Notamacropus eugenii: one gene and its partners. The protein of the gene in region 4 purifies or fractionates together with the protein of the main gene of each other region. This does not show direct contact. Links are inferred from orthologs where the notes say so. Each region holds a gene or a part of one and is shown on either strand. Other genes may lie near its edges. The genes, in order: ECPAS, PSMA1, PSME1 and ADRM1.

Region 1 (7,379 bases), on a different chromosome or scaffold from region 4:
CACGGTCTTCATAAGATGGGATACTTGCACAACATTTTTTATGAAGAAAGTGCTTGTTAAGACTTTAAAGCTCTGTATAAACGTGAATTATACCATTTATCACTATCTTCAATAAAAACGTAACTTACATACTTATGATTTTTAATAAGAAATTATAAACAGAAAATATAAGTCCTAAACCAATTCAAGATATTTAAGTGCAGAAATTTTCTTTCAGGTTAAAAATGATGGCACTAAATTGAACACTGGTTATTTAAGGGTTATTTTTGCTATGCACCTGACCAGTTCTATAAGTTTCAGAAACCAAGATAGATGGTTCAAGTTAAGAGACTTGCATAAAGCCATACTGCAAGTTATTGATAGACCAAGTATGTTATGCAGCTCCAGTCCTTTAACTCACTTCCCAAATAGCATCACCAGTAACTCCCAATTTATCTAGCTGACGTTTAAATACTTTCACCAATACAAGCCTGGCTCCAAACAGAATTCTGGGAAGTCAGCCAGTTTAGAAGACACAGTCAAACCATCCTAACTCGCTTTATGATTCTAAAAGCAAACAGAAAGCTTCAATGTTTCTTCTAGTTCAAAGGATTTCCTCCTCTCATTTTATCAGCTCACAGAAGCCTACAGAGGTTAAATGACTTGGACAAGGTCACTCAGAAAAACGACATCTAATTTAACGGCTAATAAAGTACTGTTATTTACCACTACAAGTTCATCTTATCCAGGTCTTCCAACTCATAGGATCCTTATATCTTTATGTGTTGTAGGGCCTTGTAATTAGAAGACCTGGATTTTTCATACTCACAAGCTAGCTATATGACCTTGGGCAAGTGGTAACTTGAACTTGAGTTTTCTCATCCATAAAACAGGGTAATACTTGCATGCCTCCCTCACAGAATTGTTTAAGAGCTTGCATCTGAAAACACTTTGTAAATCTCCAAGTGCTATATAATTCTAAACCATTATTATTTACTCCCTCCACATCACAGTTTGTTTCAAAATAGGCAAATTAAAAAAAAAAAGTGTTCTTAAAATCTATTATGTAGCTATTTTTTTATTGGAAAAGAATGAGATTTACAAGCGATTACAGAAGTCATCCAATAGAACCTTTTCAATGTATTTAGCTGACCTACAGTATGACTGAAAAGTGGGTTCTACTCAACATTTCCTTATGCTGGGTCAAAGTCATCTTACTACCCAATTGGTTCTATACTAGTCACAGGTAACACCATATGTGTGTGTATGTATATATGTATATACACACACATACCACACACACACATGCACATATCTATCTATATACTCTGATACATCTTCCACAATCACATTAAACTGATATTCATCCAATACCTATATGGTCCTACCCATCCCCTATACTCAGGTCTTTTCTTATGCAGGATAAACATCTCTAAGTCGCTTCAACCTTCCCTGACAAGAGGGTTTCAAACCCCCTTATCATGCTAATCACTTTCCTCAGATCCTCTTCCAGTTTGTAAAGTCCCTCTCAGAACATGCTGATCTTGAAAATAAAATAACAATTTCTGTGAAGCTCTCTACCTTCATCACGATCCATTCCATTTACAAGATTTCCAAACATCATTTCTTTACACTGGAGCAAAAGTGAAAGAAATGAAGGTGATTTTCAAGGCTCCTACTTATAAACACTAAAAAGGCTTGCAGTGTGGTTGAAACAACAGCAACTCTGGAGTCAGACCACTTGGTTCCAAATCCCATCTGTGAAAATGTACTGCCTCTGTGGCTAAGTCAACTGGACTTCAGTTTGTTTTTCTGCATAGAGAGATGGTTGGTCTAGATGACCTCTAAAGTCCCTTCCAGCTCTGGGTATATGATCCATCTTTATGGAGATGCCAATGAGGCTCTTCCTGCATGGCAACATTCAAGGGGGCGGGGACACATACGTACACATATATACATGCACACACGCAAGCTTTTCTTTAATCCCCTCCAAAAGAACTACATTTCCCATGATGCATTAGAATCTAAATGTTTTCCGGTGGGTCGGGCCTCCAATTTGTGTGATGTCACAGCTCCTTCAACATGGCTCTGTTCTTTGGAATGGTTGAAATTTTGCATTTGGTGGCTCTCCCTGACATCGAGTGCTCTTGGAGTTTTTTCCCTGTTATGAATTTAACGACCCCTCTTCCCGAGGAAGTGCGGGCCTTGCCCCCGAAGCGGGCACAAAAAGATCGCCGACCCGCCACCTACCTTGGCACTGAGAAGCTAAAATGCGGGCGGACGAGGGGGAATGTGACAAGTGCCTGCTCTTTCTGAGACTGACCCTCCCCCTCCTCCAGCATCATGCGAAACATTAATGGAGGAAGGGGGGAGCAGAGGCAGAGACGTGCATGGCAAGGTCTCCAGATCCTGGAGGAGCACGGGGGTGGGGGGGGCCCGAGGAGGAGTACCTGCACCCACACGCACTGATCCCGCACACACACCCCGGACACGTACACATCACACACATGCACATTCATCACACACGCAACACACAGACACGCGCGCACACGCATCCCTCCCCTCCACACCACCTGTTCCAAAACCTCGCAGGGCAGGGCAGGCTACGGCCGGGGGATGGGGGGATCGGGGTCCGGACGTGAGTTCCACCCCCTCCCCCCCACGAGGGGCAAAGACCGAGGCCCCGCCCGGAACTGGGGTTTCAGTTTCACAACATGACGCTGCAAAGCAGAGGCCTGAAAACAATCAGGGCGGCGGCAGCTTGGGCTTCTCCTCCCCCGCCCGGGCCCCGCTCCAACCACCCACCCCCGCCCGCAAAACTAAAAAACGTCCCCCGCGCGCCCCCTCCCCCGCCCGGGCCTGCCCAAGGACACCGCCGCCCGGGGGGCCCGACGGCGTGGCTCCGCGCTCCGGGCAGCCGCGGGGGCAGCAGCAGCAGCAGCCGCCCCGGGGGCGGAGGAGGTGGGGGAGCCGTTGGTCAGTCCGCCCGGGTCACTTACTGAGCTCGTCCTGAGAGGCGGAGGCGGCCGCAGCCATGTTGCACCCGGGGAAGGGAGGGAGCGAGCGGAGCCGTGGGAGGGGGCGGGGCGGGGCGGAGAGGAGGGGGCGAGGCGGGGGCGGGCGGAGTGGGGAGGGGGCGCAGCGGGCCCAGGCCTGTCCGAGGCCCAGGCCGCCCCGCTCCCGCCGCTCCTGCGGCCGGGCGGGCCGCGACCTCTCCCGGGCTTCCCTTCAGGCCTGTCTCTCCCCGCCGGTGGCGAAATTGCGAGCGGGAGAGAGGTCGCTCTTCCTCCGACCGTTTCTGCGTGGCTCCTGCGGCCCCGCTGCAGCCTCTCGGCCGGCTCCCGATCGCCCGCAGCCCGTCGGTCTCCCCCCTCCCTCCCTCTCTGGCTCTCTCCCTAGCCCTCCGTCTCGGTCTCTCCTCGTCTCCGTCTCGCGCCCTCTCCAGCTCTAGCCCGACTTTCCGAGAGCCCGGCCGGGACAGACGGCGAGGCGGCGCTGCCGGAGCCGCCTCCTCCTCCCCCCCGGGCCCGCGCCCCCCACGCCGCGGCTGCGTCTCCCCGCTTCGCCCGCTCGGCTCCCTTTAGTTTTATATTTAGAAAAAGCTGAGCCATCCTCCCCGCTCCCTCCCCCCGCTTCCTCACACGCGCGCGCGCTCCCTCCCCGCTCCTCCCTCCCTACCTCCCTCCTTCCTCCGGCGCTCCCCTTTCTCTCCCCGGCATCGGCCGCCCCGCGCCCCCCCTTCTCGCTAATCCTAGAGCTCCCCGCACCGTGGGAGGTCGCGAGACGCCCCCGCGGGCTCCCCGACCCTCCCAGCCGGTGCGCGGAGCTCCCTTCCCAGCCTCCCGGCGGCCGCTGTTTAGTTGGGTTGGGGGGGCGCTCCCGGCCCCCCTTCCTTCCCCCGGCGTCCCTTCCTCCCCCAGCCCCTCCGGGCAGTTCGTGTGCAAACGAGCCCGGTGGGGGGGGACTGACCTGAGTCCATGGTGACCTCCATGGCCGGAGACGGTGCGCTCCCCTTGGCGGAGGAGGAGGAGGAGGAGGAGGAGATCTGGGTAACCCGCGAGTGAGAAAGGGAGAGAGAGAAAAGCGTGAGTTTCTCCCCCTATCTGCGGAGGGAGCTTGTAGCAGCTGCTTCGCGCGGCGCCCGCGGCCCGGCCCATGGAGCGAGAGCTCTGTTGTAACCATCGCGGGCCGGGCCGGGCCGGGACGCGGTGCGGGACCTGAGGCCGGCCGGGCCCCTCCCTGCGCCCCGCGCCCCCCGCCCCCCAAAAACGCAGGGTCGTGTCCGAGGGACGAGGGAAAGGTCCTGGACCTGCGATGTAGGGAGCAGACTTGGGTGGGTTCGGGGCCGCGCACCTTCCCGAGGTTCGGTCTGCCGGCGTGGTCCCGGGCGCGGAGGTGGGGGCGGCGCGGAGGTGGGGGCGTTGACCCCGGGTCACGGCCAGGTGGGAACCCGGGGTTCCTCCAGGGTCAGAGCTCCGCACGTTGTGCCGCGCGGTCTCCGAAATGAAAACTAGAATTGGAACCGGCTGAATCCTGCTTTTGTTTTACTCCGCACCGGAGCAGTAGGCGCACAGCGTGTCAGGCCCCTGGGGCTGCCCGGGGGAGCCCTGGACACCGCGTGTCCTCACCTGGACCGGACGACCCGGACGGGCCTGCCGGCTCTAGACCTGCGGCCCTGCGCCTCGGGTGCCCGGGTCCGCTCCGTGCCCCGCGCCCCCCTCCGCACTCTTGCTCATCTCCTGTCATCCACCTGATGGTGGAGCGGAGGGATGAAGGGTCACCGGGTCGGTAACCGGCAGTCAGAGCCAGTGCTCTGCAGGACCGGTCCGTCACAGTCGAACCTGGGCCGTAGTTACGTTGAATTATTAAAACTTCCTATTTTTATTAGCTATAAAGAACTTTTTGGTAATCCTAGTCATGAGATTTTTTTGCAAAAGTGTGATTTTTATCCTCCTTTCAGTTTAAGCAGGAAAGGAAGAAAGTGGAAAACCTCCTCTTCCCCCGACAAAAAAAAAATTTAAGTTTTAGATACGGGGAAGTTGGGAAAGGAGTGGAGGGGCGCTCCATGGGGGCCAAAGTTGTAGAATTGGTGTCTGTGATAACGATAACTTGCATTTCCGTAGTAAATGCCGTGGAAGCGCTTTCACATGCTTTTGATTCCAATAACAACAGCTAGCGTTTAGGAAGCATTCTAGGGTTCGCAGAATGTTTGTAAACATTTCACTTGATCTTTACCACCGCCCTCCTAGGTGCTCTTACTATCCTCATCTTACCGGTAAGGAAACTGAGTCAGCAGAGGTTAAGTGACTGGCCCCGAGGAGGGGTTTGAACTCGGCTATTTCTGACCTCCGTTGCAGCACTCAATCCATTGGCTCTGCAATAAGAACCCAGAGCAGTCTGAGGGACTGAGTGACTTACCCAGGGTCACTACGTCTAGCAGGTATCAGAAGTGGTCTTTAAACTCAAAGTGTCCGAATCTGAGGAGTAGTACTGTAGTCAGCATAGCACACGGGCTAGTACGGATGAGGAAACAGTATAGAATGGTTATACTTACTCATCTGATGAATATGGGTTAAGCATTTACTGTGTTCAGAGCACCCTGAGGGACTGTGATTCACCAGGAACAGCCTCTCTTCCCCACCTGTGCCCTGCGTCACCACTGAGTTTGTGATTCATCCTGGTTACAAAACCTTGACCCTTTCCCATTTTCCCATGACGTTGGCACTCTGTCTTCATTTGCTATCCCTCCCGGGTCCCCAGGCCAGCTCTTGGACATGCCTTTGTTCCCTCAGTCCCTTGACTTCCTTCTTTACTTGTTCCAACAAACCAGTGAAATGCTACCATCCATTGCTCCTAAGCTTCTTCATGTTTCAGGAAAAGGTCATTTAATTCCTATTGAATCCACTAAATAAAGGTTGGTGCTCTCTAAAAGCTGTTTAGCAATCTTTTTATGCATCTAAAACAGTAGTTTGGGGATTAGGAGGCCTGGTTTTGAGTCCTGACTTTGCCACTTAATAGCTCTGTGACCTTGAGCTACTTATCTCTCTGGACCTCAGTTTTCTTCTCTGTAGAAAAGACAGTGTTGGACTAGATGAAGACTTCTTGACATTTTTGGTTCCACACCCCTCAGGCATTCTGTTGGGGCCTGTGGATCCCTTCTCAGAAAAATGTTTTTAATGAATAAAATAAAATACGTTGTATTACAAAGCAACTCACTTGGAATTGAACTAAGGACATAATTTATTCCCATTCAGGTTCCCAGACCCCTTGAAATCTGTCCAAGGACCAGGTTACAAACCAAACCAGCTGACCTTTAAGGTGCCTTTTGGTTCCAAAGTTTTAAAAGCCTGTGACTTCTTGTCATATTCCATGCCATAGCTGTTCGAAACCTTGTCTATTCTCAAGTCCCTGGCTGTGTAAGAACTATTACTGAAGTGGGGAAATGGGGGAAAGGCACAGAAGTTTAGAGGGCATTGTCTACAATTGTACTCCTAGAAACAATTGAGCTTATTACCTAGGTAGAAATAATAATCAGTTAAAATAGGAAGCTATGAAATCTATGTCCAGACACTGAGGTGATGGACTAATATTCCGAAATACACATTTTTTAACATGACCAATTTGGATTTGTATTGCTTGACTGTGCTTATTTTTTATAGGGATTTGGGTTTTGTTCATTTTATTTCAGGGGAAAGACAAGGTGAGGGGGGCATAAATTAATTTAAAAAATAGATATCAGAATGCTTCTTTCCTCCCCCATCCCCCACTCCAGAGACACCCTAGACATGTATTTCCTCTACCCAATCCTACCCTGGTCCTCCTATCCAAAGTGGCAAGAGGAGCAACCTAGTACCATCTTTAGTTAAAAAAAAAAAAAAGATGGCTTTAGTAGCAGCTCAACAAATCATCCATCCCACCTCTAGTCTTTCCCCAGTTCAAGCTGTTCTACATAAAGATGTCATATTCATCTTCCTATAGCCCAAATCCAATCAGTCCTTGGTTTGAAAACCTTTGATAGATTATTACTTATTAAATGAAGTCTAAACACCTTATCTCAGCATTCTAGGTGCTCTATGGGCCAGAACCAGTCTACCCATCTAGTCTTATCTCCAACTGGTTGGAAACTGAAGTTAAAGACTGCTCTGAGCAAGACAGCGAAAAGCTTCTAAAAGGACCTAACTGGATAATATTTTCCACAGTGAACTACATCAGACAAACCCTGTAAGCAGAGAGAATATAAAAGAAATTTTTCTAAGTAGAGCAAAATCATAAGACACCAGAGCAAGAAGAAAACCTATTTTTGACTCACCTAGCCATGTAATCATAAAATTACCAAAAAAATTCTCTAAACTTGGAGAAAATACAAAGAAGTCATACTTAAAGACATAGAAATTAGAATA
Region 2 (7,230 bases), on a different chromosome or scaffold from region 4:
TAGAGTGAATGAAAGGTAATTTGACAGGGAAGAAACTAGTATGAGAACTAGTAAGAAGAACCAGGAAAGGACTCCTAAAAAAAAAGATCTGAGCAAGCCTGAAGGAAAGAAGGGAAGCTAGTAGGTAGTAGTAACAGAGAAGAGAACTCCAAACATGGGGGATAGCTAGGGAAATCCATAGTCAAGACATAGAGCACTGTGTGCATGAAACAGCAGCTGTTGGATCATAAAATGTGCGTGAAGAACTAAAGTATAAGAAGGAAGACTAGAGAGATAGAAAGAGATCAGTTTGTGAAGGGCTTTAAATGCCAGACAGGGTATTTTATATTTGATCTTGGAATTAATAGGAAACCACGGAAGTTTATTGAGTAGCAAGGTGATATGATCAGATCTGCAGTTTAGGAAAATCACTTTGGCAGCTTAGTGGAAGATAGATTGAAATGGGGGAACCCTTGAAGAAAAGAGATCAACCAGAATGCTACTTCAATAGTCTAGGCATGTGATGATTAGAACCTATACCAGGGTAGTGATAATGTGAATGGAGAAAAGGATATGTGTAACAGAGATGTTGTAAAGGTAGAAATGCAGCTTGAGATTAAGTTATGAAGGGCTTTAAAAAATGAACAAAGGAACTTTTATTTTATTCTAGAGGAAACAGGGAGTCACTGGAGTTTATTGAGCAGGGCAGAAATATCATCTGACTTGCCTACAATACCCCTATACCCTTTCAGCTGAGGGCCCCACCTCTTACTTTATTGGGAAAATTGAGACCATTTAACTTCCATCCTTCTTCTACAATTTTCATCTTCAGATCATCCCTCACTTTCTACCTTTCCTCCAATTTCTGATCATGAAGTGGCCCTTCTTAACATGGTTGACTCTTGTAAATGTGCCCTTCATTCTGTCCCCTCCCTCATACTATCGGCTCTATCATCCTCACTCTCAGATCTTCAATTTCTCCGTCTACTCCGTGCTGCATTCAAACACGCCCAAATCTCTCATATCCTTAAGGAAAACAAAACAAAACAAAACCCTGTACTAGACCTCAGTATTCCCTCATGTGTGATCCTATATCTCATCTCCCTTGCTTAGCCAAACTAGAAAAAGCTGTCTGCACTTATTACTTACTTATATACATGTTGCTTATTTACTACTTCTCTCACCCAACCCTTTGCAGTTTGTCTCCTCACTTTATTACTCAACTGAAACTGCTCTTTCCGAAATTACCAACAATCACTTAGTTGCCAGATCTGGCAGCCGTCAATCCTCATCCTTCTAGACCCATCTGCTGAATTGGACACTTTTGACCATCTTCACTTCTTGGACTTTTATGATCCTATACTCTCCTGGTTCTCCTACCTATCTAACTGATTCTTCTCAGTCTCCTTTGCTGACTTCTCACTTGTAACTATGGATGTTCCCCGAAGCTCTATCCTGAGTCCTCTTCTCTTTCTATATTCTCTCTTGGTCAGCCCTCCCTCACTCAAAAACAAAGTCAAGTTGCAAGTTATGTCATTATTTCTCTGATGGCATGGTCTTCTCCGTCAACGAAGGACAAACACACATTCTCTTAGTGACCTTATTACTTCTCAAGGGCTTAATTATCTTGTCTATGCAGGTGACTCACAAATATATTTATCCATCATTAGCTTCTCCCTAGAACATTAGTCATCACTAATTCTCTCATGGCTGGATGTCCCTAAAACATCTTAAACTCAACCCATTATATTACCCACCAAACCACCCCTCTTAACAGTCTCTCATTCTTTCCAAGGCACTACCATTCTTCCAGTCTCCTAGGTTTGTAACTTTAGCATTTTCCTTGACTCCCCACAGCCTCTCACCTTACATATCTAACCACCTGCAACATCTTGTTCTTTCTGTTTCCACATCTCTTGCATCTGATCCATTCTCTACTCACACAGCTATTTACTACCTTACACTGCAGCTACTACCTTAGATTCTCATCACCTCTTATCTAGACTATACCAGCATCCTACTAATTGGTGTCTCTGCAACAAGCCCCGTCCTACTCCATTCTCTACACAAACTGATATTTCTTTTTTGAAAAAATGTAAATAGTATTTTATTTTTTCCAATTACAGGTAAAGACAATTTTCAAGACCTGTTTTTTATAAGGTTTTGAGTTTCAAATTTTTCCCCATCCTTCCCTCCTCTGTCCCCGAGACAGCAAGCAATCTGGTATAGGTTATACCTGTGCAATCATATAAAACATATTTCTACCAAATTGATATTCCTAATGGGAAACAAGGAGAGAAAAGGAAGTTTGGAATAACTTCTGTGGAGAATGAGAAAAGGAATCAGGGAGGAATAACAGAAATGGAGTTGGATAACACAAACTTATGATGATCTCACTGAACAGAGATATGCAATTTCCTCCAGCTCTATTTAGCACGAGTAGGTGGAAAAGAGACAGAAGAGGAGAGTAATCCAAGCCTGAGATCTGACAAGGAATAAGTGGTCATAGGCAAGGGACTGGGGGATTTGAGAGCAGAGGACAGTGTGGAGTTGAACTGAATAACACAGGCTTGATATTGGAAAGGGAGGAAAGTGAAGTCAGAGTAGGAAAATAGCCTGAAAAAGTACTGATGAGGAGAGGCAATGGAGCTCCCAGTGAGAAGGAAAAATCCTTGCCCCTACTGACAGGCAAGCTCAACCAGTTTATCTTCCAACCGCAAATAACAGTCTGGACAAAGGCATTCTTCATCCACTTGGTGTTTGGTATGTAACTAGTTGGGCAAAACTCAAGTGATTATGAATCTCATCTAGGAGGCTCTGGAATAGTCTGGGAACTGATATAAACAGCACAATATCATCCACAAACAAGTGTCTGGAGGACTTCCCCCTCCATAGGAAATCCTTCTTTGACTGGGACTCTCCATCGGATCTCTTACATAACAGCAGCACTAAACATCTCTGCTTTGTTGGATAGTAATGATTGGAAGGTTCTCTTTCAAAAACTCATGAATAACTTTGACAGGCATATGAGCCCAACCTTATCAGAAGAGAACTTTTACAGTTTTGCTCTGCTCAATCAAATGCTTTCCTATTGTTAATAAAACAATGAGCACAGCGGGATCTGGACATTTTCCAGTTAAATACATAATGGCAAAGATGCCAAATTAAGTCAAGTATTTAAGTGCTTACTATGTGCTAAGCCCTGGAAACACAAGCAAAGTAGAAACAGTCTCTGCCCTCAAGTTCATCATCTAAAGGGGAGAGGGGAGGTCTTCTTTAGAGTATATATATGTGTATATATGTATATGTGTGTATATATGTATATGCATGTATGTATATGTATATATGTATATATACACACATATATTTTTTTTTTTTTTTGCAAAAAGTTGCCTGATTCCTCCTAACATCTTCAACAAGGCTGTCTCCTTCATTAGACTGTAAGATCTGAGAGGTCTGGGGCTGTTTTTGCATTTCTTTGTATTCCCAGAACTGAACACAATGCCTGGCATATAATAAGCACTTAATAAGCTGCCTCTGTTGCTTTTCTATCTACTTAAATATCTATACATAAAAAAAATTAAAAAATCTATATATAACACTATGCCAACTGTATCCATTCACCTACTTGTCATCTGGCTCTAGGATTTCATCCCTGGAAGAAGACCAGTCTAGACACGCCCTTGGCCGTGGGGATCACTGAACGCTTGTAACTTACACTTAGCCTCATGATCACGTGCGCGCACGGCCACGTGCGCGCAGAGACACGTGGCGACCCTCGAGGAGGAACTCTAACTTCTCCCCTGGGCTGGGCACCAGTGTACATTGACCTACACAATACATAATGGCGATTCTGAATATCAAGAATGCATGACGTCAGTCACGCCCCTGTGTACCATCACTCTCCCTACTTGGCCAAATTAAATATAATAGAAACTGCTGCCGTTTCTGTGACCCTTGAAGGTTATAAACAGGTACGACATTTATCTACAGGTGTGAATGGAGACACAGAAATACCCGGCATCTCTCGGGATAGAAATCTGCATAGGCCCCTCCCAAATCATCTAGGCCTCCATCCTTTGAGGGAGGAGGGAACTGGAGCCTGCGCTCGCTGCAAGCCGGGACCTGGGCCAGCTGGGCGAGGAGGACGGCAGTGTGAGGGAGCCTGGGGCCTCGCGCTTTGGAAGGGCCTGGCGGAAGTGCGGGGATTTCCCGCCCAGCCTTAGCCTCGATCTCGTTCCTGCAGGGGTTGGGGCGGGGAAGGAGGGAGGAAGGAAAAGAGATGGAGTCGATCGATGTCTCTCTCCTGGATTGCTCTTGCCTGCGCCGTCGCCGCCGTCGCCCCGCCCCGCAGGCCCGCTCTGTCGTGCGCCGAGCAGCAGCCGCCGCCTCGCCTGGTCCCGCCGCTCCGCTGGAGGTCTCGGCTTCGCCAGCACCGAGAAAATGGTGCGTCCAGGGGAGCACAGAAAGGGTGCGGGTGCGGGATCCTGGGGTGACCCCGGAGGTCTGGGCCTCCAAGCGCATTCCTCCGGGGCCGGAGCGAGCCGGCAGGCACAGCAGGCCGGGCTCCTCGGCCTGGTGAGGAAGCCGTGATTCAGCACGTCGCCCCGGATGCCGGCCCATCCTCGACCTCGGCGCCCGCGGCCTGCTTCTGCTCGCCCTCCCGCCAGCGGCCCCGGGCCCTGGGCCTCCGCTCCTTCCCTGGGGGCCCCGCGGGGGCCAGCGCGGGTGGAATTTCTGGGTATCCCTTCTCCCCCCCGGGGGGGGTTCTGTTTCCCCATCCCCCCACGGGTTTCCCCGCTTTGCCACCCAGCCTTCCTGTCCATCCCGCATGGACTTCCGGGGAAACTGAGACCCAGAGTGGGGAAGGGCCTACCCCAGAGCCTTTGTAACTGTCCCCAAGGATCTCTGGCCCCTCGGGCCATCACTGACTGCCGGGCAGGGCCTTGGAGAAGAAACCTCCCTGCTCCCCCAAAGGAGAGAATCCTTGCAAAGCGCTGTGTAAACGTTGGCCACGATCGTCGGGGTCATTGTTTATAATATGGGAAACAGACCCCGGCGACCCAGCAGGGGCCTTGGTGGGAGCCCCGGGACCCCCCCTCCTTCATTTCGCTCGCTGTCCATGAACCTGCCGTCGCTGGGGTCCCCGAAAGCTTCTGACACCGCCCTGGGGCAGCTCCTCGGAGCAGGCTGCTGTTGTCCGAGGCCTCTTCCGTCAGCTTCCCAGTGAATGAATGTGTGCCTCCCGTTGCACGCCGTTGTCAGATGTGTTGTTTTGGATTCTGCCTTTCCCTGCATTCTTTCTGTGCCCGGGGTACTGTAGCTATGTGAAGTTAGGGGCCCTGGGCTCAGTTACCCAGAGGTAGACTCCTACCAAGTGTGAGACCTCCCAGGGCCTGCTTCTTCCTTTCTAAAAGACCTCCTAAGGTCCCTTCTCGCTCTGAATGCTGTGAGCCTATGAACCCTCTTCACTGAGTTAGGATATGGTAGGCGTTTGGGAAAGGGGATGTGTTTCATAGGTGTGTGAAGAGATTTTTATGACTTCATATGTACGGTTAATACATTGACTGCCTTCTGGATGGGTGGGGGAAGGAGGAAATTTGGAACTTAAAAATGAATGTTAATTTTTTAATGTAATTGGGAAATGTTTAACGAAATATATCTTGAAACTAATATTAAAAGTTAATTAGAAAAAGAAAGGCTGCCAGTTGTCAGGTCACCAGCTAGGGTTTGCAATAATGCCCTTTATATTTAATGCAGTTTTTCCTTTGCTTTCAGTTTCGAAACCAGTATGACAATGATGTCACTGTTTGGAGCCCTCAGGTAAAAAAAAATTCCCTTCCTTTTCAATTGTTGGGAATATCCTGGTAGTATTAAGAATATATTCAGAATATATCTTATGAGATCCTGTCATGGCTTAATCTTACTGAATAAATGACAGATTTCTGCAGACATTTCTGGAACTTCATCTTTGTTACTGAAATGAAAGCTAATACCAAAAAGTTAAAAGACCTGATTCAACTACAAAATAATGCATTAATCTTGTAAAGTTTTCTAGGATATCTGCTTTTTCTAAGTAACAGTTTTTTTCTCTTTTAGGGCAGAATTCATCAAATAGAATATGCAATGGAAGCTGTCAAACAAGGCTCAGCTACTGTGGGCCTGAAATCCAAAACCCATGCTGTACTGGTTGCTTTGAAAGTAAGTAAAGTAGAAAGTCAGATTTCCAACATAAATATTTTACATCCTTAAGAACCACTTTAACTTCAAATTTCACTGCAGAATAAGCCGTACCAGACTAATGTTTATTTTCTTTTTCTTTACTGCCTCTGCATTTGTAGAGGGCACAGTCAGAACTGGCAGCTCATCAGAAAAAAATTCTACATGTTGATAATCATATTGGAATCTCAATTGCTGGGCTCACTGCTGATGCTAGACTCTTGTGGTGAGTACAGAATCTTTTGGGGGCTATTTCTGTACTAGAATAATAATCTCATTTTTAAAATGATATAGGGACAAGTTTGGCCAAATGATACACAGATTAGCATTTATGTTTTTGAGAGATGACCAGAACCATCTAATGATAGTATTGAACTACTGTGGAGAAAGAGGCAGTTTGACAGAGTGCCAGGTGCAGGATGCTCTCTAAACTAAACTAACTTGGACCAGATCAGAGGTGTTTCATGCACACAGGCTACCTTAGCCTGAGCTAGATGCAGTTGTAATTGGCAAATAGAAGTGGATATGCTATGCACAGGGATCCATTTCTAATGGAGTTTGACATTACTCCTGTAGGCGATCTCTACAGTTCCTTCCAATCCCAAATCCTATGATCTTGTGGGCATTTGAAGGAGTATAATTATTCCTGATAGCTCTTTGGAAGATGTTGTGGGGGAGAGACCTGAGTTCAAATCTGGACTCAGACTTTTACAAGCTGTGGAACCCTGGGCAAGTCATTTTATCCCTGTTTGCCTCAGGTTCCTCATCTTAATGATAGCACTTGCCTCCCAGGGCTGCTGTGAGGGTCTGATGAGACAGTCATTGTAAAGCACTTAGCACAGGGCCTGGCGAAGAGTAGGTGCTACAGAAATGTGAGTTATCATCATTGTTATTACTGGCTGTGGGACTTTGGACAAGGCATGTGACTTCTCTCAGCCTCAGCTGCCTCCTCTTTAACATGGGGCTAATAGCACCTCCTCACAGGGCTCTTTACATGTGTAAAGCCCCCTCAAGCCTCAGAGTGTTGTGTCA
Region 3 (7,745 bases), on a different chromosome or scaffold from region 4:
TTCAGGATGATATCATATAACACAGCCTGTAGGACCCAAGTAAGAAGGGAGGGGAAGTTATTCTGAGCTCTCAGTAGAGGCTCTTTAATGGCTTCCCAATCTTACTAGAAGTTTATTTTCATTTCCTCTCTCCCACCCCTCACAGGGTATACCTCGTGAGTCATTTGTCCTGAAGCTAATGTTATTTGCCTCCATATCAACCCTCCCAACTTTGCCTCTGCTCTTCCACCAAGCAAATTCCAGGGTCTAGTTCCTTACATAAGTATTTCGGATCTCCATGACCATGAGTCTTGTCTCTCCATACTGTGCTTCATCCAGTTCATGAACCAGTTGTCGGTAGTCACCCTGTGGAGACTTCAGGGTTAGTTCTTCATACTGGCCTTATCTAATGCCCATCCTATCCTTCCTGGGGGCTTCCTTCTGAATTATGCCTCTGCCCACTCTGGACCTGCTTCCTCACTCACCACATGTGGTTGCTTTGCTGCTTTAGCCACTGCATCACCCCTTTCAGAGAAGTACCTAATGAGGAATGAGAAAAGTTATGGGGTGGGTGGGAAAGTAATGTTCCTTATGAGAGGTGAATATAGAAGACTTTAAAAAAAAGAAACCAAAATGGCAGCACCTAAAATGAGAGTGGAAAGCAAGAGCTGGAATTTGAGCCAGAAACCACTAAGACAGGGGCAAGATATACATGTGAGACTGGATCACTTACTTTGAGATCTGGGTTTGGAAGCCATCCAGCTTAGTCCTAAGTGTAGTCATCAGCTCAAATACCTTCTCCTAAGGAAAAGAAAGGTAGGAAAGAGATGAGATAAAGCATGGCTCCAAAGCAGGATCAAGGTAAGGTGTTTAGGGTGGGGCAGTATCATCACCTGGACTGCTACTCCAAAGTTGTTTCCATCCTCAATTCGGGGCACCTGTAGCTGCAGCCACATGGAAACCTGGGGAAACAAGGGCAGAGACAACTCAACTCTGTCCCCCAATCCCATTTCCTTTTCTAGATCTTCAGCTTTCTGTATCACTCCATCTCTACCATCTAAGCCTCAGGCCATATCCCCTGATATCACCTGCCACAATCCAATCTCCCTTTTTCCACTCTGATAAGGCACTGTATTCTGACTGACAGGGTACCTTACCAACTGGTAAGGCAAAGGGGAATTGTTCTGGATAAGCTGGTTCTCTAATGGACAGGCCTTCTCCAAGTCCTTCCAGAGAGCTAGGTGAGGAGTTACGGGCTTACCACATTGAGCTGTTCTTTCACATCTTTGATTTCAGGCTTCAGTCGCCCCAAAAGAGCCACAATCTTCTCATTGCAGCTTACAGGTCCACAAGGAGGACCTGAGGAAATATACCATAAGCCTAAAAGTCAAGTGGGCGAAGGCAGCTGGTCCTGGGGAGGATCTCCTGGGGATACTGTATCCATTAGGGAACCAGGACTTAAGCCCCCATCAAATGACCCCCTATTACCTTTATCTTCATCTTCCTCTTTTTTCTTTCCATCTTTCTCCTCCTTCTGCAGAAGGAGAGGAGTCACATGAAGTCAAGTCCTAAGCATTCAGATATTTCCAGCCTAGCCCCATCTTGTTCCCCCCTTACCTCTTCTTGCTTCCGACGTTCTTCCTTCTCTTTCTCTTTGGCTGGGTCAGGGATGGGGATGTCCAGGGCGGCCTTGAGGAGACTCAGATCAGCCTCATTCAGAGATGGGTCCTAAACATGGCAGAGAGAAAGGGGAGCAGTCAATGTTTTCTCTTTCAGCATTTCTTATCTTCCCACTCTCCTTCCTTTCCCATGATCATTAATATCCCTCTTCTTGACCTTTACTCTGCCTCCTCCCCAGCCCCAGTACCTTCAAGAACTCATCCAGCTCTGAAACCTTCACCGGGAAATAGGTTCCAAGTAGGATCTCTGCCTGTGTATGAGGTAGGGGGTAAGGGGTAGAGGTCAGATGTTGATTGATTGATTGACTGAACAGTTGATCAGGGCAAACTTTCAGCCAAAGAAAAGGAAGCCAAATTTGTGTGAATTGAGATTGGGGTAAAGATACGTTAGATTTGGGGTGAGGCATCCAGGAACAGAGTGAAGGTAGTGTGTAATAGTGAGGTCTTACCTGAGCACATAACTCCTTTCTGAACACATCTACCTGTGGGGATAGAAGACAGTTGTCATGTAAGGCCAACAGGCTGAGACCTGAGGAAAACTTCTTATCTCCTTGGGATTGTGGACCCAGATATTAGTGAGATTGCATCTCAAGGTATGGAACACTTCCCAGTGGGGCTGAGTTCAGGTGAAACATGGGAACAGATCCCAGGGAGGCTTAGATGGGTGGGAGGTACGGAACAGAAGTCTCCGGGGGACTGGGTTCAGGGAGACGTGGGAATTGATCCCAGTGGGCCTCCATCTGTGGGAGGTGTGGGAATAGTTTTCAGTGGTGCTGGGAGAGGTGTGGGAACAGATCCCAGTAGAGCAAGATTCTGAGATAGAGAGAGATACGGGTGTGCAGGTTTTGCCTGCTTGTCACATGCGCGAGCCAGGTGCTCTGAACCATCACCCGTCCTTTCCTCCTTTCTCTGCTTCACCTCACCCCATCAAACCAAAGCCGTTTCACCACTCCCTTCCCTCTGGCTGAAGTCCAACTCTTTTCCCACCCCAAACACCTGCCTAGTTTTTCTTTTATAGGTCCCAGTTCCCCTTTACATTTCACTGGGAGTGCTCTAGACCCTGCAAGGCTGCGGTTCCTCACTTCATGCTGGAGATTTGGGGGCAAGAGCACTTTGACTCCGAAGTACTCTCAAACCCCTTCTTGTTGAGAGGCCTAGGAGAGGAGGATGGGGGGAGGGGAATGGGCAAGGGGAAGCAAGGGGAGAATGATGGCACAAAGCTGGGTAGAGCTTCCCTCAGGACCACCCCTCCCCTCCACCCTACTCCCCATGACTTCACCCCTCCCCTCTGCTGTGCTCACCTTGGCTTGGGCTTCGGGTCTGACACTGAAGGTGGCCATGGCAGGGGGGTTAAGGGGCCAGATCGAGCAGTGAGACAGGAGCAAGGGGGAAGGGAAAGTGAAAGCAGCTTTATCTGTAGGGACCTCCCTGGGAGGGTGGAACTGAGCCGGAGGCGGGATCTGGGTTAGAAGAGGGGAGGGGAAACGAGAGGGCCTGGAGGAGATGAGGCAGGGCTCCAAAGTACAGTCCCAGGGAGTAGGGACAGAAAGCCTCTTCCAAACTCTGTATGTTTGTTTTGTCTGGTTCCAGCCCCTCATGACATGCTCAGACTTTGTCTCCAAGTACCTCTTGACCCAAAGGGATGAGCTCTCTCTCCTCCCAGCTCCCCAAGGCTACCGTTCATCCCTTCTCAATCTGTCTTCCTCTCTGTAGTGTCACATGGGCTCACACAATTGTACAGACCAGGTGGGAAGGACATGTTTCCATCTGTCTACATATGTGTGTATGTCCTCTTGGTGGAATTGTTCATGGAGGGTGCTGGGAATAAAAGGTATCAGAGGAGAACTGAGGAAGGGGTGTGGGATCGTGGGATGGTAGGCTGTGGCATCCTCCTTTTCTTGGAGACGCCCCCCAATCCTGCCCTAGGCTATGTTAGGGATCAACTTGGAATGTAGGAAAGGCATTTTCGGGTCGTTCCCATTCTGTAGTGCTTTTAACCTCCAATATTCAACTGAGGTACCACCCACTATTCACCTCAAATAAAGAGAAGAGCCGGCTCCTGGCTTTGATTGGCCTTTATTTCCATCAATCACGTTTAAGTCTGGATTGGGGGCGCTGGGGGTGGATGAAGAGCCCATGGCCGGGACTTCCTGGTGACCAGGGTTGATGGTACCAGCTGCCATAGGTGAGGTACCAGGCGAAGGTACCCACAGCAGCACCTACCACCTTGTGGGTATATTGGTGGAAGTAAATGACAGTGCAGAGCAGCAGGAAGTTCCAGAGGCCCAGCAGCAGCACGTTGAGAAGGAAGACGAGTCGCAGAGGGGCACCAGCAGGCAGCCCATGCGCCAGGTACCGAGCAAAGACTGCGGTTTCCTCAGCCATGAGCAAGCAGCAGAAGGTGAGCAGGAAGGTATGAGAGGAGACAGTGTAGCCCCTCCACTGGTGGCCAGCTGCCAGGCAGCTGCGACGGTCAGGCAGCTCGTGGAGCAGCAGCCCCTGGGGCAGAGGCTCAAAACAGGAGCCCGTCAGGTCCTCAATGAGCAGGAAAGCACGGCCAGCCCCTCGCCATACTGCTGCCCCTACCACCAGCCGGCTTAAGTGCCGAGCTGTCACTGCCACTCGCCGCGTGGCCAGGAACACGACAAGTAGTACAAAACCTCCCAGGAAGGTGCAGGTCCAGCCCCAGGCAGAGTTCACAAACTTGCTGTGGGTTAGAAGAGGGGGAGGGGAGGAAAGGCTGTGGTGAAGAAACACTCCTTTTTGGATCCCAGGTTCTTCTGGATTTCTCAGCCTTTCAGGAATCCCATTTCTCCTCCCCCTGGACCTTTGCCACCTTCCTCTGCCTTCTGACCCCATCTCATCTCTGCACCCATTCATACTACCCCGGGCCAAATCACTAACTCTCTCCATTTCCCCTGTTCTTTGCCCCCTCTTTATCATCTCCAGCCCTCTACTCCCCTACCCCCTAATCCCCTAAAAGACTTCTCAGTCTCAGAGCACGTCCTACCTTTTAAATCCTCCCTTTGCACCCCCATAGTTCCCCCCACACTTGACCTTCTCCTCCACCTCCTGGCCTATTTTTAGTGCTCAGACTGGCAGTAGGACAAGAGCCCAAAGGAGGGGGGAGCTTAGAACCCAGAGTGGATGGAACTAGCATTAAAGGGCCTGACCAGAGGGACTTACATGTTGAAGAAGTTGCCGTGGCTGGCAAAGATGGTGCGGGGGTTGACATGGAACTGTAGCAGGGGTCCGAAGATGACGACGGCAGCTAACCAGGCATGGTAAAGGCGCCGGAGGCAGGGGCTCCCCAGGAGTCGGGCAGCCTGCTCACTTCCAAAGTACAAGAGGGCTGATGCCAGCCAGAGCAGTACCCTCAGCAACCAGCCCAGCACCACTCGAAGCCGGGCCCCCAATCCTGTCCCTGCCCCCACCCCTAACCCCCGCTCCATGTTCCCTCCCCTCTGACTGCTTGCTCTGCTGGGCAGCTGAGGAGGGGCTTGTAGGGCCCCCTAGGCAAGGACGGGCAGTGACAGGTGCTGGAGATACAGGGCAGAGCTCGACTGGCAGCTGGTGAGGGAGAGGGGCGGGGGGCAGCGAGGGGCTGTGGCTAACGCTGCTGCGTCAGCAAGAGCAGTCTGTGTGTCCTTCCACAACGTCCATGCCCTTGTGTCCTCAGTTTTCCTTGTTTCAATTTGTGGGTTAGTGCCTCCATGGTTATATCCTCTGAACTTTTCAGCCAACACACCTACTTCACTGTCCATTTTTAAAAGGGAGGAGGGGTGCTCAGGGGAAGCAGCTTATCAACTTTTCAAGTTTAAAGACATGTATGGCCATCCTCACATGAAACTTTCCCTATCTGGTGCAGGAATTTTCCAAAGTAGGTGGAGCAAGGCAAGGACCCATTCCAATATACCCTCGACTTGGGCCTTGGAGTGGCTCTGGGGGTCCACGCTGCTGTAGAGTTGTAGGCCTGGCCTGGTTCACAGTCAGGTCCAGGCTGGAGTCCTTGGAAGTTGGGAAGGGGGAGCAGAGCAGTCCTGCATAGCATCTTCCAACCTCAAATTTGCATCCTGTACTAATAATTGGGCTGGAGCAGGTCACTACAACTGGAGTCCTTGGACATGCTCCACCTTACCTCACTAGACTAACCGGGAGGAACCTTTTCCTGGTTTTGTTACTCTACACATTTTTGAAAGGTTTTTGTTATTTCCCCCTCTTCCTAAATATCTGGCATGATTTTGGTCCATACCAGGAGGCAATATGGCAAGAGTTGAAAGACTATGGTCCTCCCTCTGTTTTGCCATTACCAAACTGCACAACCTTGGGTAAGTCAACCAATCTCTCTTTGACATGACACACTTTCTCAGAGGGTGACTTTAGATTAGCTGGTCCTCTAACATCCTTCCCAACTCTCAGGTTTTATCTATCTAAGTAAGATGCACTGTCATCTGTCTGTGAAGTGGTCATCACACTGAACTACTTTTTCCTTTGAAAGGAGACTTGAATCTGGTATACTAGGGGGTCCATGTTTACTCCCTTCCAAATTCTACCTTTATTTGCTGGGGAAAATACATGTTTTAGGTTCCTGGAGTGGGTAAATGACTAAACTCCAAGCGAATTCCTTATTTTTAGTGGGGGATTATCGTTCGTCTTCTTAAGAGAAAGTAGAAAGCACATGTCTTTGAGGTGTATTTTCAACCCAAAGGAGCATGTCCTAGCTTTTAGGTTCCTGTACATTGTGTTATGCATTTCAGCCCCAGTTGTGGAGTTGGAGAGGTTTATGTAGAGCCTTAGTATACAAGGAACCAGACTGAGTCAGATTTCTGAGGAAACTTTATTGAGGGCGCTAAAGCAAGTGTAAGACAGGAAGGACCCCCACCTCAACCTGCTGAGTTCCTCTACCCATCTGCCCTGAGAGGACACAAGCTGAAGAGTCAGTTCCACAAGGATTAAGATGGGGGCATTAGGACTTCCTACACTGTAGCACCTCCTACTCCAAAGACACAAGGGAGAGCAGATTCCCAGCCTGAGGGAATAGCTTTACTTCTTGACTAAGAAGGAATGACATTCTGGTCATCATGAAAAAAGGAGAGCTGTGGTGGGGAAACCCACCTTCTGAATGGCTAGTCTGACCTTCAACTTGAAGGTCCATGCTACTGGGCCAGGCAATGGTAATCAGATTCTGATTGGCCAACCCATTTAGACCGAGCCCAGGAACACTAGTCTACAGACCAACTCTCAGAATCCAAACATGATTATAAAAAATAAGCATTCTCTGCCTGGCTAGGACCATACCTAAATAACTACCTGGGGGTGACCTCTTTATTTTCCAGAGTTGTCTGTCCTGCCTGCCCTCCAGGTGGGGATGGAGGCTGGGCAACAGCACTAGATTAAAAACACAACCCAGCCTCAAGGGGCAGGATACCCCCACCCAGAGCACAGTTAGGGTGGAAAAGCTAGGGTTTCTGCTCCTTGCTCCCTAACCCTATTAGCTCTTCCACATATCTCCCTGAAGAGAGAGAGAAAAGATTAGGTGATTCCCCGTGGGGGCTGCACAGATCAGTCCATACTGACAGGAAAGAATTACTGGGAGGTGGAATAGGCTCCATAGGCTCTGTATGGCGGAGTGGCAGTAGGACAGTCCTGGGAATCCAGCAGGTCCTCCCTGAAGTATTCAAGTGGACGGTACTGCCAGAGGCGCAGGTTCCCATCCCACTACAAGGGCAAAGAGGAGGTTGTTAGAGGAGGACCCTCTGAAGCCTTGAGCCTACATGAATCACTCAAACCCTCACAGAACCATTCAATTCCTGTTCCCTTCCCTGATTCTGCCAATCTCACCGAACTGCTGACAATCTTTTGCTCAAAGGGATGCCAACTGACGTCCCGTACACAGGCCTTGTGGCTGGACAGCTTCTTCACAATCTGGCCACTGAGGAGGTCATATACTACACAGGAAAGGAAAGAATGAGAAAGGCCACTAAGGTATCATCCATCTACATTTTATTCTCTAGCAAGGGTCCCTTATGGCAGTCTAGTGAAGCCTGTGGACTCCATCTCAGAATAAGTTTTTAAATAATAAATTAC
Region 4 (7,125 bases):
TCTCAGTCTTAGGCTCCTGTAGGAGAAGAACTGGGGTCATTAACAAAATATTTCAAATGGACCAAGATCCAAAATATCTTTGCACTGAACAATTACCATCTTTCTTGTACTCCTCACTTAGCTTTATCTTCATTTTATGTTATTTCCACAAGGGAAATCCTGACTCTTAACACAAACATTTGTGCTGTGTACACAAGGGCCATACAGAATGCTCATGACAAGAAACCAATACATCATCAGATCTATAATACACTAAATATCACTTTGTTGGGGGGGGGGGAGAGATGGTAATGACCAATCCATATACATATGTATATAAATCCATGGTTTAAAGAACTCAGATGAAAATTGGGGTTTGGTGAAAAAGGTGAAGTTAAAAACTTCACTAACCTGCATCCAAAAGAAGAGTCGCTTTGATCCTGCCTTGAACTTTAGTACATATACTCTACCAGTAGTGCACTGAGGTACTCGCTTAAATTCACAGTCATCAGGAAAAATAATTAAGTCCTGGACAAAAAGGTAAGTAAAGGGTTATTGAAAGATCAGAAAAAAAGTCTATCTTATAACTCATTACGAAAAGATGCTACTGAAAACCACCTTTTACGAAGTCTCATGACTAAATGTAAAGCAATTAACAGCAATTCATTTTGTTGACTGTTACAGAGTCAAATCTAAATTTATCTTTGGGTACTACAGATCACAGGATCAGAGACTGAGAGTTAAGAGTCCTTAGAGGTCCTCTAGTACAATTCCCATGGAGGGACAAAGCGTTTAAGTGATTTGATGATGTTACATAGTTCAAACCACAGAGAGGTGCTACCAATTTTTTTAAAAGACATTTCAATCTTTAAGAAGATATAATACAAACATTTAAAAGGAAAGTATTAAAACCAAATTTATTCATTTTTAACTTAAAAATTACCGAATACTCACATCTTCTACATTCCCAGAAGTCCTATCCTTCCAACAGAAATGAATGAGGGAATCATCAGTTTGCTGAATGTATACAAGCCCTTTCCGTTTATCTGGGGTAACTGTAGTTCCTTTCAATGACATTTTTCCTGCTCGAAACTCCACCAAGTATTTGCTGGATGAGCCCCGGGAGCCTGGGACTAGGCTTGGAAACAAAGCACCTGAAGTCATTCTGAAACTGGAAAAACAAATTTATACCTTATTTTTCTATACCATATTGTCCTAATTGTAAAACTTTCTTCAATATGTACTCTATATGTTAAATATTAATAGCAACCAGCACTGAAAATTAGCCCCTTTGAACTATATCAGGTAATACCATAGCTCAGAGCGAAGGTGGATATGAAGTAGCTCACCTTAAACGGTTTTGTTGAAAAATAAGCAGCAGTCTACATCCAAACCATACCCTTTCATGTATCCCAGAAAAGATATAAAGAATCACATAATGAAATTATAAACTCAGATATACTTGAAAATCTATTTTAAAAAGCAAACACTCAAGTTTCAGTGACCTTCAAAACCAATACAAAGACTTGAACATCAGGAGTTCAGAAAGAGACACCTTACCCAAGACAAGCTGCTTTTGTATGAGCCCAAATGTTATTAAAGAATTCCATCCTGAAGAGATCATGAGATCACAGTTATATAGCTAAAAGGGACCTTAAATCCAGTACCCCACCCCATGTCACCAATTGTACAGATGAAGAAATCAAAGCCCAGAGGTTAACTGCCATAGGAGGGTAAGTGAGGCTAGGAATCGCTCAGGTTTTCTGACTCCAAATACAGCAATCTTTCCTATAATACCATGCTACTCTAAACTTAAAAAAAAAATTAAGGAAAAAAAAAACTTTGCATCTTGCCCTTTCATTGAAAACTTCAGTAAAAGTTAAGTTCCTTGAAGGAGAGGATTATTTTTTTTCTACCCCCAATACCTGGCGGTGTCTGGAACACAGACTGTAAATCAATGTTTACTGAATGAATTATGCTTAACTTTTTTTCTCACCAAGTCTTGAATTTTCTTGATTTTTTTAAGAAAAAGCTGCCCACCAAAGTGCCTTGTTTCTACAACTGGATAGACTGAGTTTCACTTGCATAAACTCTCTTCCGAGGAGGGGAAGGCAAGGGGTTGGAGAAGGGATTTCTATCGATGGAACTGGTCCTTCCGGTCAAAAGTGATGTTCTCTCCTTAGAGGAAAACCTCCCCGGAGGCCAGGCTCACATGCCCGGGCTGGGCTCTCCCAGGGGCTGGCACGAAGCTACCGACACTACAGAAAATAACTGACAGGGCACCAGCAGGGCAGGGTATCTTTGAGAAAGAATCCCTAGTGCCCGACGTAAATACTGCATTACTGGATGGAAACACAGGCAGAAAAGTGATAGAGGAGGCGCTTTATGGGGGGCGGGGGGCTGGGAGCCACCGTGAAAACTCTGTACCGGGGAGGTCAGGCCCTCCCCAAACTCCTCCTCCTCCTCCACACAGCCCCACATCTGGCCTTGACCTCCCAGCCCGGCCCTTCCGCCACCTGAGGATCAGCCACCCCCGCTCAGCTTCTCCGCGCCCCTCCACCCCGTCCCGGGCCCGACCCCTGCCTGCCGGGGCAGATCCTCCCCCGGCCCCCGCCTCCCCCACCCGGCCGCCGGCCCCGGCCCCCGCCCGCCCGAACCGTCCTCTCCACAGCCCCCTCCCCGAGCGGCCCGGGCCCCGGCTCTAGATGTGGTGTGGGGCTGCGCCTCGGGCCCTCAGCAGCCGTCAGCTCTCACCTAGGGCCTGGGGCGCGGACCGCGGCAGGAGCAGCGACTACGGCTCGCTCTTCCTCCTCTGCAGCTGCCGGCCCGGCCGGAAATCTCTTATTGCTCCACCCTCCCTCCGTTCTTCGCGCTGATTGGGTTGGGCCTGACGCGCTACCGGCGCTTCTCTGAGACCGATTGGCTGGAGAGGCCGTCCGTCACTCTCCCCACTCTCCCGGCCTCCCTCCTCCCTCTCCTCTCTCTCCCCTCGTACTTGGACCCACCCCCGGCGGCTCATTCCGCCGACCCCACAGCGCGCAGAGGAAGCCCCATCACCACGCAGTCTGGCGGGGCAGAGCGGTCCCTATTGTTGCTGTGTCATAGGGGAGCGGCGGCGGCCCCTAGCGGAGGCGCCTGGGATTACACAGAGGCCTCTTGAAAGGCCCCTCTGTATCGTGTACCTCGGTTTAAGAAAACCCAGGACCAAATGGGTGACTTTGCAAAGCAGATAACTAGGAAAGGGGATCGATTTGTAACACTCTATAATTAGCTTGCCTTCAGCACTGTGGGCAACAGCTTCCCGGGTCTAGATGGTTTCCTGCTCTTCTTCTGTTTTAGGGAGTTTATTTTAACAGACCAAAGTTCTGAGTTGTTACAATAGCTTTAAACCCTCAGGAAAATCCCCAACTTTGTACTTAAGTCTATCTCGAGTTAAAGTTTGGGTAATGAAAAAACAGATGATTACGGCTATGGATAGAAAAGGCACAGGAAGGGAAGCTGGGGAAAGAGCCAGACTTCATTCATTCAGCTCAGGTTCTCTGCTCTGAGATGCTTGTAACACACACACACAAACACAAACACAGTCTGTGCTTTTCTTTTTTTCTTATTTAATATTTTATATTTTCCCCAATTATGTGCAGGAGCAATTTTAACATTCTTCTTCTTTTTTTTTTTCAAATTTGGAGTTCCAAATAGTCTCCCTCTCTATCTTTGAATATTAAAAAAAAAAGTTCCCTAGCAATGTTACCACTTCACATCTTGGGTTCTAGAGGTATACTGTTCTTTCTAGTTCTCTAAGTCAAAGGTAGTTAGTATGACTCAAAAAGTCACTTGGGCACACGAGATAAGAGCCTGAGTATGTGCCAGAATAAATATTAACAATGTCCGTACTTTTCCTTGTCTTTGTGTGATATGTTTTGTGTTCCCTTCTCTTCTACCTCTGTACTATTTCACTAATCAAGTAAATATTTATCAGGCGCCTACCACAAGCCAGGCAATATGTTAAGTGCTGGGGATATACAGATACTTCTTATTTTCAAGGATCTTATAATCTGATGAGGAAACACAATTCACAAAAGGAAACTGGAAAGCATGGTTAGAGGATGAAATGAGATGGGGATGGGGGCATGTGGAGAAATCCCAAAGTAGTGAAGCCAAGTGAAAAGGAAAGTCTTAAAATTTGACTATTGATTGACATTTTAAACTCAACATGTCTACAACTGTACTCATCTTTCCCCAGAACTCTCCCCTGCCCCCATCCTTTTTACTATAGAGGATGACACTTTGACACCCGACCTCCTCTACTATCTCTTAGCCCCATATTCAAACTGTTGCCAAGGTCTGTTGATTTCATCTTTGCAACATCTCTAAATTTGCCCCCTTCTCTCCTCTGATGCTGCCACAACCCTGGAATGGGGCTCTCATCACTACTGGCTACCAGTGAGCTTGCATGCCTCAAGTCTCTCTCCCCTCCGATACAGCCTCCATAGTGATTTTCCTAAAGTGCACTTTCAGTCATGTCACCCCAGGGCTCCTGCTCACTAACCATGAGTGAGAGGCCACTGATTGCTGCAGGGATCAGACAAAAATCTCCCATTTGCAATTAAAAGCCTTTTATAATTTAGCACCCCCAGCCCCACTTTCCAATATTATCACACCTTCTTCTAAGCCCAACTAAAATTCCAAGTCTTTCCCAACCTCGCAATTTGAGTGCCTTCTTCTAATTTACTATTTTTCCTGTATATAGCTTGTTTCTACATAGTTGTCTGCTTGTAGTCTTCATTAGATTGTGAACTCCTCAAGGGCGAGGACTGCTTTGTGCCTCTTTTTGTAGCCCCAGCACTTAGCACAGTGCCTGGCACACAGTAGACCATTTAAGAAATGCTTATTGACTGAACGACTTTCCTCATGCAACATAGTCTAATCTCTACAAAATGCCCCAACACCCTAGGATTAAAGCAACCATTGTAAAAATGTTTTATTCTTGGAAGAAAATAACTTTCTCCTTTAGATTAGCTTTTATCTAGACATTAATGACATAATTCCTACTTGCCAAAAATTTAAAACATTACTATCTACTCATAGTTGTGATTTCCTTCTTGTCCAACATGCAAATCTTTCAGTTCCCTAAGAAGTAATAAGAGGTTTAATAAAAAGATAGAAATACATCTTACTGGAAAGCAGTCTATGAAAACATCATCTATACATTTACTTTATGGTAATTTTACATTAATTAATGCTAAAGCAAAATGGAGATGCTTTGAAAGTATTGAATAAGCACATTAATACAACATGAGTTTTACTAATATGCAAACTTAGTGAAAAATAATTACAAGTGTTAATGTCAATTTGTGATAACCTAACCAAAGGAAGTACAGTATTATTACATTTACTTTCTAGCCAAGGAGAATGAGCCAGCTTAAAAAAAAATCTAGCCCAATTTGCAGTTCTACGGAAACAATGTATAAATTTGCCTGAGGAGGAATTTTTTAAAAAAGATTCCTATAAGATAACACGATGTTGGTAGATCAATCTTCAGAAGATTAGGTTAAATACTTAGTTGTACTGACAGACTTTGTGATTTCTGCATATTATGTATTCGATTTACATTCTGACAGGCAAAGGAAAGGGCAGCTGGGTGGTGCTAGTGTGCTACAGTGTAGGCCTGGAGTCAGGAAGGCCTGAGTTCAAATCCTGTCTCAAACACTGTGTGACTCTAGGCAAGTCATCTGTCCCTGTTTGCCTCAGTTTCCTCATCTATAAAATGAGCTGGAGAAATAAATGACAAACCACTCCGGTATCTTGCCAAGAAAACCCCAAATGGGGTCACAAAGAGGTAGACATGACTGAAAAAGGACTGAACAAAAGGCAAAATAAAACACATCAAATTACCGCTGGATAAATCCAGTGTTACCAACCCTGAGAATGGTAAAAGAAAAAGTTTTAAGTGGAGTGTTTCAATCCACCATTGCACCTTATTCACATTGCTAAATCACCAAAGACAACACAGATCGTGGTAGGGTTAAAGCACTCTGTAAATCTTAAAGTGCAATATTTTTTTTGGTAAATAGTATTTTTTCCAATTACATGTTAAAATATTTTTCAACATTCATTTTTTTATAAGATTTTGAGTTCCAAAGTTTTCTCCCTCCCTTTTCGCTGCCCTCCCCAACATGGCAAGCAATCTGATTTACGTTATACATGTGCAATCTTGTTAAACATGGTCCCATATTAGTCATGTTGTAAAAGAAGAATCAGAACAAAAAGGGAAAAAACCATGAGAAAGACAAAACAAAGTGAAAGTAGTACGCTCCTATCTGCATTTACACTCCATAGTTCTCTCTCTTGATATGGACAGCATTTTCCATCATGAGCCATTTGGAATTGTCTTGGATCACTGTATTGCTTAGAAGAACTAAGTTGTTCATAGTTGATCACTGCACAATGTTGCTATTATTAAAGTGCTATTTCAATGCATTACTGTTACTGCTATATGTAGCAGGATTTTCACTACTGATTTAAGTATGCTTAGGACTCACTTCTATCTTCTAAGAAATGGTATATAATACCTCTAAAAAAAAGTGAAAAAGTTGATGAGGGTAAATTGCCACCAGTAGCCAGGTAAATTAAAGACAAGCATCGTATTAACAGACACAGATAAGGTGGTTTTGCCCCACTTAGAGGCCTAAGAGCAAATGTTGACTCACTGATTGTAGGATCTCAAAACTTTAGAGCTAAAGGCTTTAGAAGCCTTATCCATCATTACAAAAACAAGGAAACTGAGGTCCAGAGAGATAAAATTACTCACTCATGGTCATCGCACTAATCAGCCAAATGAGGAAAAAAATTGTTAGACTCATGTTTGGGGAGTGCATCAGATTAAATATACACTCTCTCCATTTTGTCTCTTTCTCTACAAGATCTTGGTAAAAATATCTTGAGGACAGAGAAAGGAAAATACAAAACTGTGACTCCAAAGGAATTATCAAAATGGTCATTAAAAACTTGGCTTTTCAACATCTCATACTGTTTACCAAAACAAGGTCAAGATGGGTACATAATTTAGACATAAAAAGTAATATCATAAGCAAATTCACGGAGCATGGAAAAATTTACCAGTCAGACATATGGATAAAGGAAAAATTA

Evidence for each region.
Region 1: the proteins of ADRM1 (region 4) and ECPAS purify together in Homo sapiens (affinity purification with mass spectrometry; 3 studies listed by BioGRID and IntAct, with this or other methods). This does not show direct contact. The link is inferred for Notamacropus eugenii from reciprocal best matches to the Homo sapiens genes ADRM1 and ECPAS.
Region 2: the proteins of ADRM1 (region 4) and PSMA1 purify together in Homo sapiens (affinity purification with western blotting; 5 studies listed by BioGRID, with this or other methods). This does not show direct contact. The link is inferred for Notamacropus eugenii from reciprocal best matches to the Homo sapiens genes ADRM1 and PSMA1.
Region 3: the proteins of ADRM1 (region 4) and PSME1 purify together in Homo sapiens (affinity purification with western blotting; 3 studies listed by BioGRID, with this or other methods). This does not show direct contact. The link is inferred for Notamacropus eugenii from reciprocal best matches to the Homo sapiens genes ADRM1 and PSME1.

The regions. Positions count from the first base shown.
Region 1 is NC_092874.1:403,759,246-403,766,624, reverse strand, and holds the start of ECPAS (proteasome adapter and scaffold protein ECM29), read right to left. Parts: upstream 3,104-7,379; 5' UTR 3,016-3,103; coding exon 2,979-3,015; intron 1-2,978. UniProt on the Homo sapiens protein: Adapter/scaffolding protein that binds to the 26S proteasome, motor proteins and other compartment specific proteins. May couple the proteasome to different compartments including endosome, endoplasmic reticulum and centrosome.
Region 2 is NC_092877.1:37,944,674-37,951,903, reverse strand, and holds the start of PSMA1 (proteasome subunit alpha type-1), read left to right. Parts: upstream 1-4,036; 5' UTR 4,037-4,422; coding exon 4,423-4,425; intron 4,426-5,757; coding exon 5,758-5,802; intron 5,803-6,078; coding exon 6,079-6,180; intron 6,181-6,320; coding exon 6,321-6,424; intron 6,425-7,230. UniProt on the Homo sapiens protein: Component of the 20S core proteasome complex involved in the proteolytic degradation of most intracellular proteins. This complex plays numerous essential roles within the cell by associating with different regulatory particles.
Region 3 is NC_092878.1:9,149,786-9,157,530, forward strand, and holds the start of PSME1 (proteasome activator complex subunit 1), read right to left. Parts: upstream 3,206-7,745; 5' UTR 2,999-3,205; coding exon 2,960-2,998; intron 2,141-2,959; coding exon 2,108-2,140; intron 1,910-2,107; coding exon 1,847-1,909; intron 1,708-1,846; coding exon 1,597-1,707; intron 1,514-1,596; coding exon 1,468-1,513; intron 1,339-1,467; coding exon 1,241-1,338; intron 942-1,240; coding exon 873-941; intron 781-872; coding exon 713-780; intron 520-712; coding exon 465-519; intron 346-464; coding exon 259-345; intron 27-258; coding exon 1-26. Other genes in the region: FITM1 (fat storage-inducing transmembrane protein 1), read right to left, coding at 3,744-4,365, 4,845-5,110; DCAF11 (DDB1- and CUL4-associated factor 11), read right to left, coding at 7,245-7,376, 7,500-7,606. UniProt on the Homo sapiens protein: Implicated in immunoproteasome assembly and required for efficient antigen processing. The PA28 activator complex enhances the generation of class I binding peptides by altering the cleavage pattern of the proteasome.
Region 4 is NC_092872.1:500,849,066-500,856,190, forward strand, and holds the start of ADRM1 (proteasomal ubiquitin receptor ADRM1), read right to left. Parts: upstream 3,042-7,125; 5' UTR 2,734-3,041; intron 1,151-2,733; 5' UTR 1,144-1,150; coding exon 934-1,143; intron 508-933; coding exon 391-507; intron 17-390; coding exon 1-16. UniProt on the Homo sapiens protein: Component of the 26S proteasome, a multiprotein complex involved in the ATP-dependent degradation of ubiquitinated proteins.